3 linked regions of the Callithrix jacchus genome follow. The protein of the gene in region 3 binds, or shares a complex with, the protein of the main gene of each other region. Links are inferred from orthologs where the notes say so. Each region holds a gene or a part of one and is shown on either strand. Other genes may lie near its edges. The genes, in order: TAF9, TBP and TAF3.

Region 1 (5,133 bases), on a different chromosome or scaffold from region 3:
ATGTTTAAATCTATTAACATAGATTTAACTGTAAAAAATTTTAAAAAAATCAAACTATGTTTTCTCAATTTTAATGAGGCATACTTTAAGTCCCTTTACTTAAATTTATGGAGTTCCTACCATGTACAAATCATCATTGACTATAAAAAGATGAAGACACAAATAAGGGAGCAATAAAAGATTAGGGGAAAACAGGGTAAAATAAATAACATCTATCATCTTACAATATATGCAGTTGCATGCAAATCTCAAACTAATCTAAGATAGCATAGTCATGTCCTATGCCTGAACTCAAAATAATCTCCTTCCAGTGAGACCAATACACTCACTGTGCTCATATACATGTTTAGCAGTACCAAACCTTTGTTTGCTCAACTTAAAAACATTCTCCTTATTCACATTCTACCTATCCTAAATCCAGTCTCTTCATAGGAGCCTTCCCAACAATTCACAAGAATTGCTAGCCATTTTGAAGACAGAAGGGAAAATGGTCAAAATAACCAGGACATAGCATTAGACACTTAATATTTCTGTGGATTACCTAAGAGTATATATTCTTTAATGGCAAGCTGTTTTTTGTACCCTCTGACAATACCTAGCACTAACACTCCGCTATCAGACTTTAAAAAATAATAATAATAAATCTAACATCAAAGTGTCCCTTACCTTCTCGAGCTAAATCACCCACATTAATGTATTTCAGTCCTGATTTTGATGCAAGTTCTTTGCCTAGTGTGGTTTTTCCAACCCCTGGTGTACCTGTAAGATAAGCCACAGAAAAATATTGTTTGTGAAATACTACTCATCACACTGTAGCCCACCTTCTGCCCTTTTTTTTTTTTTTTTTTTTTGAGACAGAGTCTCCCCTGGTCTCTGCCCTTAAGGTTCTCAATGAATGAAATGAAAAATCTTCTAATTAGCAATCATATGTAAGTTTTTTTTTTTGAGATGGAGTTTCCTTCTTGTCACCCAGGCTGGAATGCAGTGGCAAAATCTCAACTCACTGCAACCTCCACCTCCCAGATTCAAGTGATTCTCCTGCCTCAGTCTCCTGAGTGGCTGGAATTACAGGCATCTGCCACCACACCCAGCTAATAATCTTTGAATTTTTAGAGACGAGGTTTCCCCATATTGGCCAGGCTGGTCTCGAACTCCTGACCTCAGGTGATCCGCCCACCTCAGCCTCCCAAAGTGCTGGAATTACAGGCATGAGCCACCTCAATATGTCTATGATCTAATAAAAATTTTCCAAAGCTAACTGAATGTCAAAATATTACCCAGTTATTGATCCTTCAAGGGTGAGGCTCAGCAGATTCTGTCGCAGATTCAAACTGCCTGCTACTACCATGGAACTGTTCAGAATAAAATTAACCACCTCAAATCAATTACAGTCATTTATTTACTTTTTTTTTTTAAAGACAAGATATCTCTTTGTTGCTCAGGTGGAGTGCAGTGGCACTTGGCTCACTGCAGCCTTAACCTCCCGGGCTCAAGCAATCCTCCCATCTCAGCATGTCCAGTTGACGAGGCCATAGTGTGTACCACCATGCCCTGGTTAATTTTTGTAGATGGGGTTTCGCTATGTTGCCTAGGCTGAGCTCAAGCAATCTGCCCACCTCCCTCTCCCAAAGTACTGGGATTACAGGCATGAGCCACCCATCCGGCATATTTGCTTTAATTTAAATAGATTAAGAAACTGTTCATAGCCAGGTGTGGTGGCTCATGCCTGTAATCCCAGCAATTTGGGAGGCCAAGGCAGGGGGATTGCTTAAGCTCAGGAGTTCGAGACCAGCCCCGGCAACATAATGAGACTGTCCCAAAACAAAAACAAAAACTGTTCATGTTAAAATGTAAGCAGTCTTACCCCTTGCACCCTTCCCTAGAGACAACCACTGTGAACCAGTTTCCCATACATGTATATCTTCCCAGAGAAACCCTATTTATGTTGCATATGAATGTACATGTATATACATACTTTGTATATACATACATAAATACAACATATATTCCCTTTTACATAAATGACAATACTACATACTATACATTGCTTCTTACCTTCCCCTTTTGATACCTATTATAATTACACTTCAAGATCAAATTTGTAATTTTCAGCTATTCAGGTTTAACATCCCTGAAATTAAACTTGAGCATAAAGATAACAGGGATAATCCAGTTCCCACACGGAAGAGATTAACAGTTACCTCAAGTCCACTATAATTCACCAAGTCTGAACCCTGGACTCAATTATGTTTTCAATAAAATGCTCACTTTAAAGTTTTGACAATGACACAATATTAATAACCAAGGCACTATGTTTGATCCATGCAAAAAGATGTGATATCTTCCACTTAAGAAATCTTAAATGCTAAACATTATTTGTGGCCTGGTTAATCGGCACCTCTCAGAAACAGACATGTCTTGTGCGCTGCAAATCATCTTATGTTTAGATGAACGCTGTAACTTTACTGCTTTATTTCCACCGACTCTTAATTTTTCGGTACGTTCCAATAAAATCTACATGCATTAGATTTTTCCACGAATGGTCTACAATTTAATAAACACTTTAAGGACTAAAATATTCGATGAAGTCGTTACGCAGCAGCATTTTAGTTCCTTCACCGGTAACACGCACCCTGAGTATGGCTTCAAAGACCCACTCCTACGCGAGAAACGACCCGAAATGCTCACTAGATTCCTCTCCTTTAAGGGGCTGGGGAGAACCTCTGATGTAACTCAACAAAGGCATACAGTAATTTAGTCACACCACAAACATCTAAAGTCATTTCCCGAAATCTGATCTGAGGAGCAAAGGAAAAAATAAAATATGGCCCAGGGAGGCCTAAGGAGTGAGGCCTCCACCATTAATGGCTCTACTGGAGAACAGATGTGACCTTACACTATTTCGCTAAAAATCCCAAAGCCAACCCTGCCAAAGAATCAACAACCCATTTTACACACAAAATACCAGATTCAGAAAGACTAAGCAGACTGCCAAGCAGGAGAGCTGATCTGCCGACCTCTCTCCTCCTCCCCCGGAAGTCTCGGGCCACCGGAATTAACGTTCCGCATCCCCTCCCCCACCTCCTGCCAAGCCCGTGAGGGTCGGCTCCCGGGGCGCTGCAGCCGCCTCGCGGCCCTCGGGAGGCCTCCAAACAGAACACTGAGCGGGGCCCGAGGCCCAGAGCACTCCGCAAACCTCGCCTGCCCCCTCCCAGCCCCTCCCGGCCGCGCGCCCTGACCGGTGAGCAGGATGTTCGGAAGCAACATGGTCCTCGCTGCAACTGCTCCGATCACCTCGCTCAAGCGCCCTTTGCACTACGGGGAGGAGCCGGAAGGGGCGGGCGGCAGTGAGAGCCCACGGGCCCCAAGGACCTCCAGGCCCACCGCGGCGTCCCCGGCCTGCCCCGGCGGCCCAGCTGCGGCCCACTAGTTACCTAGCTTTCCCTAACACGTTTCCATCGCAAAGTTGAAGGGTGGGCATAACTCGGGTCGGTGCTTCGGGTCAGGCAGTGCGCTGGATGCCTAAGTCACACACTCCGGCGGGCCCCGCCCTTCGGTTGCGTCGCGGATGCGCCGACCATTTTGAAAGGTCCCCGGGAGGCCGTACCTCAGAGAGGCCCGGATACGGCCAGGTGGCTACCCTTTCACTCGGGGTAGATCCTGTTCGCCTCCGCTCTTCGCCGAAAAGGGAATGCAGCTCCGGGAACGTAAGGCCGCCGCGGCTGCCGCTATAATATGTATATGTCTTAGAGACGCGAGTCTATCTTTGCCTTCAAGCCTTCTTGGGCTCTCGTCGCTCCTCCTCCTGACCCGCCCGTCCCATCTGGGGATGAGAAGATTGAGGGTGCAGAGCCCAGTCCTGCAGCGGGGATTTGCGAGCTCAACCCGGCACCCTACTGATTACAGGATTACGTTGGACGAATATTTGACCTTAGTATTCCCTGTTCACTGTGTGGGGTGGTGGTGGGTCGGCTAGGAATAGTCTTGAAGGTCTACCTCTGACATCTCATTTCAGGAATCTGGCATCTTCAGGGACAGTTACCTGCTTTTAAAAGGAGGTAATTGTCAATCTTGTTTTCAAAGAGTGAATAGAGTCCTGACGGTGACAACAGTCTGCATCTTTTATTTCGAGCTACAAACTATATTTACTCAAATGTTTTGTTTGTTTTTTTACCAACTGTGTACCATTTGAAACGTCAAAGTCTAACCGTGAACGATTTGGGACGAAAGGCCAGCAATTTGTTTTCTAGTACGTAGGGGTGTTTATAGGCGATGTGTGCTCCAAACTGTAAAATAGTTCAGTATACTTTCCAGTGTATAAATTTGTAGGCATTAAAATTCTCTTCTGGCTAACTTAAAATTGTTGAATTCACTAGTTTGCATAAAGGTTTAAGAATTTGAAAACACAATTGAAAAACAGTGTTACTAAGAAATTTTCTAATAACATGATCAAATGAAAACAGTTTTACAGTAAGATTTAAATTCTTTGTCCACAGCAAGTGAATTCATTGTATTTTATTTTTTGGGAAATGTTGGAAATGAAGAACTGCAACTGTAATTTGAAATAAGGAAAACTTTAATTTTCAGTATATAAACTACTCAAATAGAATTGCCTGATTTTAATGACAAAAGGTAAGTAGAACAGTTTGTGAATTTTTTTTTTCTGTTTTTCTCAAATACGTCATTGAGTTCATGTGAAAAACTCCGTTTGTAACACCACAAGTAGTTTATTTATCCAGTTATAGTCATTAAAAGTAAAATTATTTTAGAATTTTGATTTCCTGTATCACTTAAATTGACTGTTTTCACTAATTATTGAGCCTTTATTGTGTTGTTGATTGTATCAGTATACATTTATAACTATAATTCTGTATTTACAGTTCTTTTTCATTTGAGGGCTTCTTTTTTTTTCCCCTAGGTGAATTAGAGTTTAATGTATTACTGGTCCTATACTACGGATGGGAACTGTTACAGTTTATAATGTCAAAAACTTTTCTTAGACCAAAGGTATCTTCCACAAAGGTATGATACACTAGAATGGCCGTGAAATAATTGCCTTAAAATAACTATAAATTTTTATATACATTCTTAATAACTTATTACTGCTATCAAAGTAATAGAGCCCAGTATCTA
Region 2 (5,182 bases), on a different chromosome or scaffold from region 3:
TCACTGCTCACTACAACCTTCGCCTCCCAGGTTTAAGCAATTCTTCTTGCCTTAGCCCCCTGAGTAACTGGGATTACAGGCACCCGCCATCACACCTGACTAATTTTTGAATATTTAGTAAAGATGGGGTATCAACAGGCTGGTCTCGAACTCCTGACCTCAGGTGATCTGCCCACCTTGGCCTCCCCAAAGTGCTGGAATTACAGGCGTGAGCCACCACTCCTAGCCAGAAAAATTATTAAAGTAGATGGGTGGTTGAGAGCTTGAAATGTAAAAAGGGAAAAATAAAACTAGAAAATAATTTGATGACGGTGATTTTCAAAATCAAAGAACCTATATAATCATTTGGAACATTCTCATAAGTGTTTACCAAAAGATTAATGTTTTATTAACAAATATTTAATTTAGCTTCCAAACAGACTCCCCAAATAAAACACTATTGTGCCAATTCAAAGCCTAATAGAAAGTTTCAACAAAATAAGGCTTAAAAATATATATAAAATCATTTTCAAAAACAGATCATTAAATACCCTTCCTTCCCTTTGATACCATCTCTTGAAGTACATATTTCTGCCCTCCCTGTTCTCATTCTCTTCCTCCTGCTGTATTACCTGAGGGGAGGCCAAGCCCTGAGCGTAAGGTGGCAGGCTGTTGTTCTGATCCATGATGTTCACTTCCTTCTTGGCAAACCAGAAACCCTTGGGCTGGAACTTGTCTCACCATTCAATTTTTTCCTAGCGCATCTCCAGCACACTCTTCTCAGCAACTTCCTCAATTCCTTGGGTTATCTTCACACACCAAGAGACAGTGATGCTGCTTTGGAAAAAAGCCTGAAGTTTAATGTAAGGATTCAGGTAACCTGTACAGTCCTATAAGCCAGTTCCATGGCTATACAAAACACAAACAAGAAAACCAATGAAGCTATTTTGGAATACATTGCCTTTTGCTTTATAATCCTGAAGTCTTATTCCTTCCATGTTTCCTGTGATTACATGTAAAATCGCCAACAAAAGTCATTTTGTTACGCATTTAAATACTATGATGATGCATCAAAAACTTTTGAGGAAAAATACTGAGAGGAAACTAATTCCTAAGCAAACTGTAATATCACAGCAGAGTATTCGTTAAGCACTGTATATACAGCACAGTTAAGCAAAGTTCAGATCTTTATTCCAATTTTATATCCTCTATAATGTCTTGGGCAAAAAATTAAGTAAATATACTTCAGTGATCAGTTATTGAGCTCCTACTATAATAAAACTAAAAAAAAAAGCTGCACAAAGATAAAACCCTGCATTTTTGTAAATAATAACCTTACCTCTTTAGAACACATTAATGCAAACCGTGCCTGTTATCTGGCTTTTCTTAAATCATCATCTCTTTACTCATGTCCATATCTGAAATGAGTTTATAATAACAACATATTCTCACCCAGAACTTCAGGTCTCAAAGTTACAAATTATATGTCCAAAGACCCTTCAGGCATATGCACTTCAAGCATGTGCTGGTACACAATAGACACTCAGATATTTGTGAAGGAATGAAAGATTCTGAGGATCGCTTTGAAAGGGCTAAGGCCCCCAGACTCTGTATCCTACCTACTCATCACTGAAAAAATGGCCAAAAAAGAAAGCAAGCGAACTCTGCTTCTGAAAATAAAAATATCAGAGATGTTTTTAAAATTATACTTTTTGACAGTTACCGTATAATAACAATAACAGAAGTGATGCAGATGAGGATGTAAAGATTAGGAGGTTATAGTCCTTGGCATCAAAATGTTCAATATAAAGGGTATGCAAATCATTACTATAAAACATAGTATAATAGCAGGTGTGCCCTAAGCTAAGTTTCTTTTTTTTTTTTTTTTTTTTTTTTTGAGACGGAGTTTCGCTCTTGTTACCCAGGCTGGAGTGCAATGGCACGATCTCGGCTCACCGCAACCTCCGCCTCCTGGGTTCAGGCAATTCTTCTGCCTCAGCCTCCTGAGTAGCTGGGATTACAGACACACGCCACCACGCCCAACTAACTTTTTGTATTTTTAGTAGAGACGGGGTTTCACCATGTTGACCAGGATGGTCTCGATCTCTTGACCTCGTGATTCACCCGCCTCGGCCTCCCAAAGTGCTGGGATTACAGGCGTGAGCCACCGCGCCCGGCCAGCTAAGTTTCTTGAATGTAGAAACCAGTCTTTGTCATCCCTGCATCTAGCACTATGCCTGGAATACAGTATGTGATCATGAATAAGTGCATATATGCCCCTGGAAGAGAAGACATATAGACTAACAGCACACTACTATGAAGAGGGGCAGTGTTTTCACAAAACAAGGACCATCTAACTTGGGTCTCACAAGGTGAATAGGAATTTACAGGTCAGGGCTTCAGATAAACGAGGTAACATTGAAAAAGCATGCCGTATGAAGGTGACAAGCTTAGTATGACTGTATAGGTCACTACAGGAGATGAGACGGCAAATATTGGTAGGCTCTTATCACTTTTTGCACGTAAGTCTACAGAAGAAACCGCACAGTGGTTACTGCACTTTCTCCCTAGAAAAGGGTTGTTTGCTGGGTCTCTTCATCTCTTCGAAATTGAAACATCAAATTCGATATTTTTTGGAGGCAATCTAACTCTGCATAGCCTTCTAGTGTCTGTATATCTAAATGAAGCATAGTCTTTTCACAGAAAAGCCTACCTAGAGATTTGGAAAACCATGATGGCCTGAACCGAGAGATGGGAGGCCCTGTAAACAAAGTGATGTGTACTGTATCTTAAGCGCTACTGTGTCCGCTGTCTCAGGCTTCTGACAAAGTATTTAAGTCTCAATGTTGGTAGCAAAATAGGCGGGCACAGACCACAGTGAATCTGCCTTCAAACATGGAGAAGAAGCGGGTGGCAGGCCAGGGCAGAATAAACTTCGGGTCTTCGATGCAAGGGATTGCCCTGTCCCGCCCGCCGCCGCCGAGCCCGCCAGTACCCTGCGCCCCACGCTCGTATGACGGGAAGCCGCTTGCGAACCACAGCGGAATAGGGCACCAGGCGAAAGCGGCGGCCGAGTGGCCGTTACAGGCCGGAACGGCGGCAGCACGAGCGGGAGGAACGTCCCCTGCAGGGCCTGCGCGCGCCAATTCCTTGTCTCTTCCCCACCATCGCCCCCAGGCCTCAATGCAGTGGTCGCCTCCGCCCGAACCCTCAGAAAAGAGGACAAGCTGTTACCTGGGTCACTGCAGAAATTACTATGAGCCCGCGGAAACGAAGTTAAACAGCCGGCGGCCCAGGCGCCCGCCACAGGAACCCTGCCCGACCCCACTGAACTCCAGGCGCGCGTTGATAATGTCACTTCCGCCAGTTCTGCCCTCGGCTTCAGCGAATTGTTCTCACTGGGGTCGTGGCCATGCGAAGTGTGGGCACTTGCTCACTTCCTGTGTTTCCGTAGGCGTGTAGTTTAAGGGAAGGAGGGGCGAAGCTCTTGAGGAGTTCCGGGACTGGGCGGGCGCACCACCGCTGTCTCTAATTGGCCCTTGCTGGGCATAGGAAAGATCAATTTTTAAATGGTGTGTGTGTTTCAAGCAACTAGAGGCGTTACCGTTGGCAAGTTCCCTGACTTCTTCCCCGCAGTTTCTTCTGTAAAATTTAATAATGATGATACTAGTGCTTAACTTTGGGCTCTCTGGAGACTGACAGTCAATGCCTGAGCAGTGCCTGGCACTCAGTAAGCGCGTGCTCCTTACCTGTCAGCAACAACGCTAGCTGATCTTCAAGCGTGTAGAATGACTAGGAACACTAAGCAAAACACAAGCCGCTTCAGGCACTGTGGTCAAAGGCTCGATCCGCAGTTGTTTCCTAGTGGGACGTCAGCACGCCTTTATTTTACCTTCTATAGTTCGTTTTGGCGGAATCATATATTATACCGCTTGTTTCCTTTGGACTTTCTATTATCAGTGAGGTTGTGAGCTCTTTAAGGATAGGAAATGTTACATACATTTTGTATTAGCCAGGACAATTTAGGCTGTTACTATTATTCCAGTTGCCGTTGCTCCACAGTTTTGGCAAATTTTTGCACGGTCAGACTTTTAAAATTTTGTCCATATGGGTGAATTCCAATCTTTTCTTCGGGGGAAAAACAAAAAACAAAAACCTTAATATCTTTCTGGTAATGGGCAGGACCCAACTATGAAAGGGACTAGCGGCAGAGCAGCCCTCCAGGAGCAACGACTAGTGCGAGATAGAGAGGCCGGGAGCGAGTTACAGGAAAGCCGGAAGTGGCGTAACGTCCGGTCAGGGCGGCCATCTCGCCGTGAGGCAGCAGGAGTAGCGGCCGGAGTTGCGGGCGCTTCAGTGAGATGTTGTCCTCTACAGCCATGTATTCGGGTCCTGGCAGAGAGCTGGGAATGGAGCCGCACAGAGCTGCGGGACCTCTGCAGCTACGATTTTCGCCCTACGCTTTCAACGGAGGGTAAAAACCCTTGAGAGCCGCAGCTTTCACTTTCGCCCTCCCCCCATCTGCTGAAGCCTATTTGGGGGTCACCGCCGCGAAGGCGCTGCCCAGATCCCCTGCAGGCCTCAGAACCCTGAGCTGAGTGGGTCCGCACAAGGCCGGTCTTCCTGCCGTCCTCTCTTGCGCTGTTTCCCCCTTTAGGCTCGCTTTGCTCTGGTTTACTTGGTGATTGCGATACAGCCTCGGTTTTTAGGGTTTCCCATTACCGCCTGGTTGGCTGGGTCTGTGCGGACCGCCACTCCATGCTCCTTGCTGCTGTAAGACGGTCGACAGCTTCCGCCCATATGGAAGACCTTTAAAACTATCTTAGCTTTTCGCAGAGTCTGAACACGTTTCTTAAGCCAGCAGGCGAGGACAGAGGTCTAGCGTCTGAAACTAAAAAGTTAGGATTGTTTGGTCTGTGTTGTTAGATGCATAGTTGTGTCGGTAGGGAACGTCTCATTGTAGCTGCCTGACTTCCGTTATCTCTAATTGTGCAGTTTAGTCATTGTCTTTTATTTCAAATAGAAGGTGGGATTGATTGAGCAAACAATTTCGTAGATAAGTGCTTTTTTTTTTTTTAACGTTCGGCTTAAGTTCAGGAAAAAAAAAATAGAAGATGGACCTTGTAATATGTGGGTTCTTGCATGTTCAAGTTTGGTTTTTATTTTAATTACCAGCTTTATTTTGAGTAATAAAATTTCCCGT
Region 3 (5,333 bases):
ATGTGACACAGACAGAGACATCCGCCCCTGAATGCTGGGAGAAACTGTTACCTTAGGGCAAGTCTAAAGTTCATTATTGTTGAATTAATGGTAACTTCTAATACTTGCTTTCACTCGTGAACATTTCTTCTAGCAGAAACAGCCACATCAGTTTGTTTTTACTGACATTCTGGCACTCTTGAACACACCTTACGGGCAGGGACTGCATCTCAGTAATTTTATGTCTCCAATGCCTAGCACAGGGGTTGGTTCCTAAGTGGTGCTCAGTAAGTGTTTGTTAAAACGACAGAAAGGACGTAAAGGAGTAGAATACAAAACTGCATAGTGGTAACCTGGAGCTATAGAATTTGATTTTAGAATAAGGCTGGTATAGAAAAACGAATCTAAAAATATCTAATAAGTATACCAAAATTAGCATTCAAAAAAAAGTCACCAAATCATCATGGGGAATAATGAAGTTGACAATCTCATTCTCACTGAAACCAAGAAACTGGCTACGGAAATTAGGTAATTAGGAACAAGGTTTACAATGAAGAGCTGCAATGACCCCTTGATGACTATGGAATACTTAGTCACATGGAGTGCCAGCTCCCTTCTGTATAAAAGGCAAGAAAGGTAACTCTGTATTCAGGAGACATTTTGAATGTCTAAAGATACAGAACATCTGTCCCTATGTAGAGAACTTGGTAGCAAACATAATCTGAACTACGCCTCGCCCAGCCTATCAGTTAACAGTACACTCAAGGACCATGGCAGAGCAGGCCAGAGGAAAAAGAAACAAAAGCTAGGAGAGTAGTCAGCTGCTGATGTACTTTCAAGATAAAAATGCATGCATATTACTTTGCAGTTCCAAATTTATATGTATCAGTGAGTTAGGCATGGTTCAGGCCTGTAATCCAAGCACTTTGACACACTGAGGCAGGAGGATCACTTGAGCTGAGGAGTTTGACACCAGCCTGGGCAATATAACCAGACCACATATCTACAAAAAATAAAAAAATTAGCTGGGCATGGAGGCATGTCCCTGTGGTCCCAGCTACTTGGAAGGCTGAGGCAGGAGGATCACTTGAGCCCCGAAGTTCGAGGCCATAGAGAGCTAAGATCGCACCACTGCACTCCACGCTGGGGGACAGAGTGAGATCCTGTCTCAAAAGAAGAAGAATAGAAGTCTCAGTGAAATCAAGCACTCAAAGCATACACATTTTTGGAACTCAAAATGTGAAGTCAATATGTGGCTCTTATGGTAGTGGTTTATCAGTTCATTCATTCACTCAACAAATATTTCTCAGGTAGCTATTATAGAATGGCCCCACAGGTTACAGAATACAAATATAATCAATTTTTCTCCTGAGAGGTGAAAGAGACATACACAGGTGATTACAAAACAAGATGACAAATGAAAGAAATATGCACAGAATTATGAAAGCAGATAACATGAGGTCCCTAGAGCAAGTGATAAGTACATCTCAAAATAAAAGCAGTACTACTGGGCCAGGGCAAAGGACACTCTAAGTAGAAAACAGCATGCACGTAGAAATGGATAGCCTAAAACATTCTGGAAAAGGCAAGTAGCTCAGCATGGCTCCAGATTAGCATGGCAGGCTGGCAAAAGATAAGCAAGATGCTAGCTCACAAAGGGAAATGTGTGCTGTTAACAGTTTAGATTTTTAGCCTGTAACCAATAGAATACAGTTAAAATGTTTTTAAGAATAATGACAAAATCAGATTTGTGTTGTGGACAGATTATTTTGGCAGCCCTGTGGAAGCAGGAATGAAACTCGGGGCCTAAGCGATACAACATGTCTGTGGGTCTCCATTTTTCAGTCTAGGAACCACTTTAACAAAACAAAGTATCCTATGAAACACTTCATTCAGTTCTCCAGCTTATCACCTTAAACATCATGACTTGAAACTTCAGTGAGTGGTAGTTTCCTCTCCTCAACAAACACACATGCAATGCTTCACATCAACAAGATAACGTGTAGCTTCTATTAAAATACCATTTCTTCCATTAAATTATTAAATACCACTAGCTATAGATATTACCAGACATTCACTTAAAACCCGTACTGTACTGTACAGGTTTTAAGTAGTACTGTAGCCCAGATTACCTGGAGAATCTCGCCAACTGCCCATGGTCCCTCTATCCCGCTTTGATAACCACTGACATCTCACCGGTAACTGAGACGTTAAGTGAAAGTGCATCTGATCAGCGAAACTGACAAAGTCAGCCTTGGGAAAACAGAAAGTGGAGATGTTGTTCACGAAACGAACAGACACAGAAAGAAGAGGCAGTGTCCCTAACGGAGCAGAGCTGTCAACGAGTCTGTGTAGTTAGGAGCTCAGGAATGGCCAGTCTTGTAAGAAACGGCCGGTAGACGGAGCGCCTGTGACAACTAGTTGTAGTAGTTTGCGGGCAAGGGAGAAAAAGGACCGAGGTAAAAGAGGGTGTAAGGCACGCTGGGGGTGGATCTGCCCGCAGCAAACAGGAGACAATGAGAGAGATCCAGGCACATTTCAGAGCGGAGGAGCTGCAGGAGGGTGTGGAGCTGGGAGCGAAGACTCGGCTCCCGGGCTGGTGGCGGGAAGTTAGCGGATGAGGAAGAGGCACCCCAGGGATGACTAGAGTTTGCAGGGTCAGTGGAAGCCCAGGGACGTGGGAGGCCGAGGAGACAGCAGATCTCGAGGCAGGGTGCGGGACGCACACACCGGAGACGCGGAGGGGCAGGGAGAGCGGAGGTGTCACCCTTGACTTGCCGGGGCAGCCCTCCCGAACCCAGCCCGGTACTCACAGAGCTCAGAGTACCGATGGCAGCCCCGGCCCAGCTGCTGCAGATAGCGCTGCAGCACGTCCGTGAGGAGGTGGCAGGCGCTGAGCTGCACCGAGTCCCAGCCCAGCGCCTGGCAGATCTGCGCCACCGAGACCCTCAACAACGACCTGGAGTAACTCTCGCACATCCCGCTGCGTGGACGCCACCGCAGCCCTTGCTGCCACTGCTCTCCAGCCCCGCCGCCAGACCTTAGCAGGGCCCCCGATTCATCCTCTAGGGCTTCGGCGGCGGGATAATGGTCCCACGGACCCCCGGCGACCACCTCAAAGCCCCAGCAGCGCGGAGCGCGCCAGCCTGAGAGCCGCCATTTTGGACTCGCTCCGCCTCTCGCTGGACGGCCGCCGGAGCGAGGCAGCACGAGCCGAATGCCGAGCGCGCCGATGAGAAAGCTCCGCCCCGTGGGAGCGGAGCGACGCCTCGGGATCGTCTCTGAGGCCTGGAAGCCGGCCGGAAGCGGGATTGCGGAGCGCAGGTGGAGGAGGCGCCATGGGTGACAGGTGCTGGGGTGCTTCCCAGGGGCGCTCACCTGGGGGGAGAGCGGGGACAAAAACGCCCGTGTTTTAGGGGCAAACGAGGGATCTGGGATACGACATTGACATGTTAGAGAGTTAGCATTAATAACGTTAGTCATGTTAGAGGGTTAAGTGCTAGAGAGAAGTTTGGGGCGTGGGAATTTAAGATGCTCGCCAAACGCAGACCTGCGCTGGTCTTACTTCTGCTAAAAATCTGTGTACTGAGCTGCTTGCCACTGCACAGATTAAATAAAGCCCAAGCTGTTCCGCATGCCCTTTAAAGCCCTTCGCAGTAGGGCGGGGACTAGGAGGAGGCCTCTGTGCCAAATTAATGGGCCCCCCAGAAAACTCAGTCATCAAGATGGATAATATTTTAATAGTTTTTTTAAAAATCCAAACCCATGCCATAAACTCCTGCCTCACTCATGTCATTCTAATCCCAGCCATGGTTGCAATAAAACGTTTTTTTTTTTCAAACCAGGTGAGCTCCCTGTGGGCTGTAGTGTGCGATTTGCGTATCGCGGCTGTGGCCTGTAGGGGGATGGGGACCTCGGCTACCTCCAGAGGTCAAACCAGAGCCTCAAACCCGTATCTCAGGCTGAGTGTCCTGGGAACGGTTGCCTATCCCAGAGCCTCCTCCCAGCTCCAGCCAAATATTGCCAGAAATCGGGATTTGGGGATAAATACCTTGACTTTTAAATTCAGAATTGGGAACACATCTCAAAAACCAAACTGATCCCACCGCAAGTCTAGATTCAGCCTGCCGATAGCTCGATTGTAGTGGCTGAACTATGTGGTTTCTTAAATATGCCTTTCTGTACCTATCACAGTGTATTTAGTATAAGAGTTTATCAGTGGCTCTATGTTCCTCCTCCAGGGACTATTCCAGAACTTTGAACATGATACTCAAATTTTCGAAAGTCTGGGAAACGCAGTAGGAGTGAAATTATGGTTCTTCAGTTAAATGGCGATCTGCAGAGAAGCAAGGTACTATATGGCAAGGTGCCCGTATTTACTTCATGGACACTCTGTCCCCAAGTTATCAGCAACATTTTGTTGCTAAATCTGTGAGACATTTTTCAGTCCTAGCCTTACTTGATTATTTTGTAGCCATTTGATAATGTTGAACACTACCATAACTTTCAAACTCTTTTGGGCCTTGGATTTCACACATCTGTCTCTCTGCCACCACCACCTGGATGTTTGTTCCTCTTCACTTGCCTTTCTGTGTATAGGGGAGGGGATTTTATTTCCAAAAATTTCAAACCTACAGAGAAGTTGAAACAAAATCACAGACTCAGGTATACACTTCATCTAGATTCGCCAATTGTTAACATTTTGCCACATTTACTCTATCTTGTGTCTTTATATATGCACACAAGTTTTTTTCCAGCAGTTCGAAAGTAAGCTGCAAACTTCATAACATTTAACCTCACCACACCTCAACTTGGATCACCCCAAAACAAGAACATTCCCTCACATATCTACACACATGATCATGTGTCACAGGCTTGGTTCCCAGGAAGTCAACTCCGAAATAGAGATGAGCCTGCAGAAAGTTCATTGAGGAGTCCTCCTGGGACCTGGGGGGAGGAGTGAAAGCAAGGTGCAGTGAGTGCCTGGGCAAGGGAAGCCTCGGCCAAGCCAATCCCGTAGGGCACTCAAGCTGGAGTGGACCCTCAGAGCTTCCCTGAATCCAAACAAGAAGGCTGGACCTTTCTATTCACATAGGAAACAGGCCACTGCATGAGGGCTGCCTGGGAAAGTAGGCAAAGGAACTGCCTGCAGCTGAGCCCATTCAAGTCCAAGGACAGCTGAAGTCCTTCGGGCCTGAGGGGCTCTGAGCAGTGCATTTAGCATTCAGCACAGTTCATCCCTTTTACCCTCAGAGACACTTCTTGGTTTGAGGAACGGCTCCTCCAGGATTCTGGAGGGAGCCCTTCCCCTAGGGAGAACATTAAAGAGGAAGGTCGGAGACAGATTAGAGCCC

What was found.
Region 1: TAF3 (region 3) and TAF9 share a complex: the UniProt entries of both Homo sapiens proteins name them as parts of the TFIID basal transcription factor complex. The link is inferred for Callithrix jacchus from reciprocal best matches to the Homo sapiens genes TAF3 and TAF9.
Region 2: TAF3 (region 3) and TBP share a complex: the UniProt entries of both Homo sapiens proteins name them as parts of the TFIID basal transcription factor complex. The link is inferred for Callithrix jacchus from reciprocal best matches to the Homo sapiens genes TAF3 and TBP.

Annotation. Positions count from the first base shown.
Region 1 is NC_133503.1:140,123,596-140,128,728, reverse strand, and holds the start of TAF9 (transcription initiation factor TFIID subunit 9), read right to left. Parts: upstream 3,505-5,133; 5' UTR 3,435-3,504; exon of another isoform or gene 3,268-3,434; coding exon of another isoform or gene 3,018-3,267; intron 1,353-3,017; exon of another isoform or gene 1,278-1,352; intron 760-1,277; coding exon of another isoform or gene 667-759; intron 1-666. Other genes in the region: AK6 (adenylate kinase isoenzyme 6), read right to left, coding at 667-759, 3,018-3,267; cell cycle checkpoint protein RAD17, read left to right, coding at 4,623-4,632, 4,919-5,022. UniProt on the Homo sapiens protein: The TFIID basal transcription factor complex plays a major role in the initiation of RNA polymerase II (Pol II)-dependent transcription.
Region 2 is NC_133505.1:177,177,305-177,182,486, reverse strand, and holds the start of TBP (TATA-box-binding protein), read right to left. Parts: upstream 3,309-5,182; 5' UTR 3,214-3,308; intron 3,060-3,213; exon of another isoform or gene 2,693-3,059; intron 817-2,692; exon of another isoform or gene 814-816; 5' UTR 666-813; coding exon 612-665; intron 1-611. Other genes in the region: PSMB1 (proteasome subunit beta type-1), read left to right, coding at 4,341-4,453. UniProt on the Homo sapiens protein: The TFIID basal transcription factor complex plays a major role in the initiation of RNA polymerase II (Pol II)-dependent transcription.
Region 3 is NC_133508.1:6,117,871-6,123,203, forward strand, and holds the start of TAF3 (transcription initiation factor TFIID subunit 3), read right to left. Parts: upstream 3,164-5,333; 5' UTR 2,959-3,163; coding exon 2,793-2,958; intron 2,300-2,792; exon of another isoform or gene 2,206-2,299; coding exon of another isoform or gene 2,112-2,205; intron 1-2,111. UniProt on the Homo sapiens protein: The TFIID basal transcription factor complex plays a major role in the initiation of RNA polymerase II (Pol II)-dependent transcription.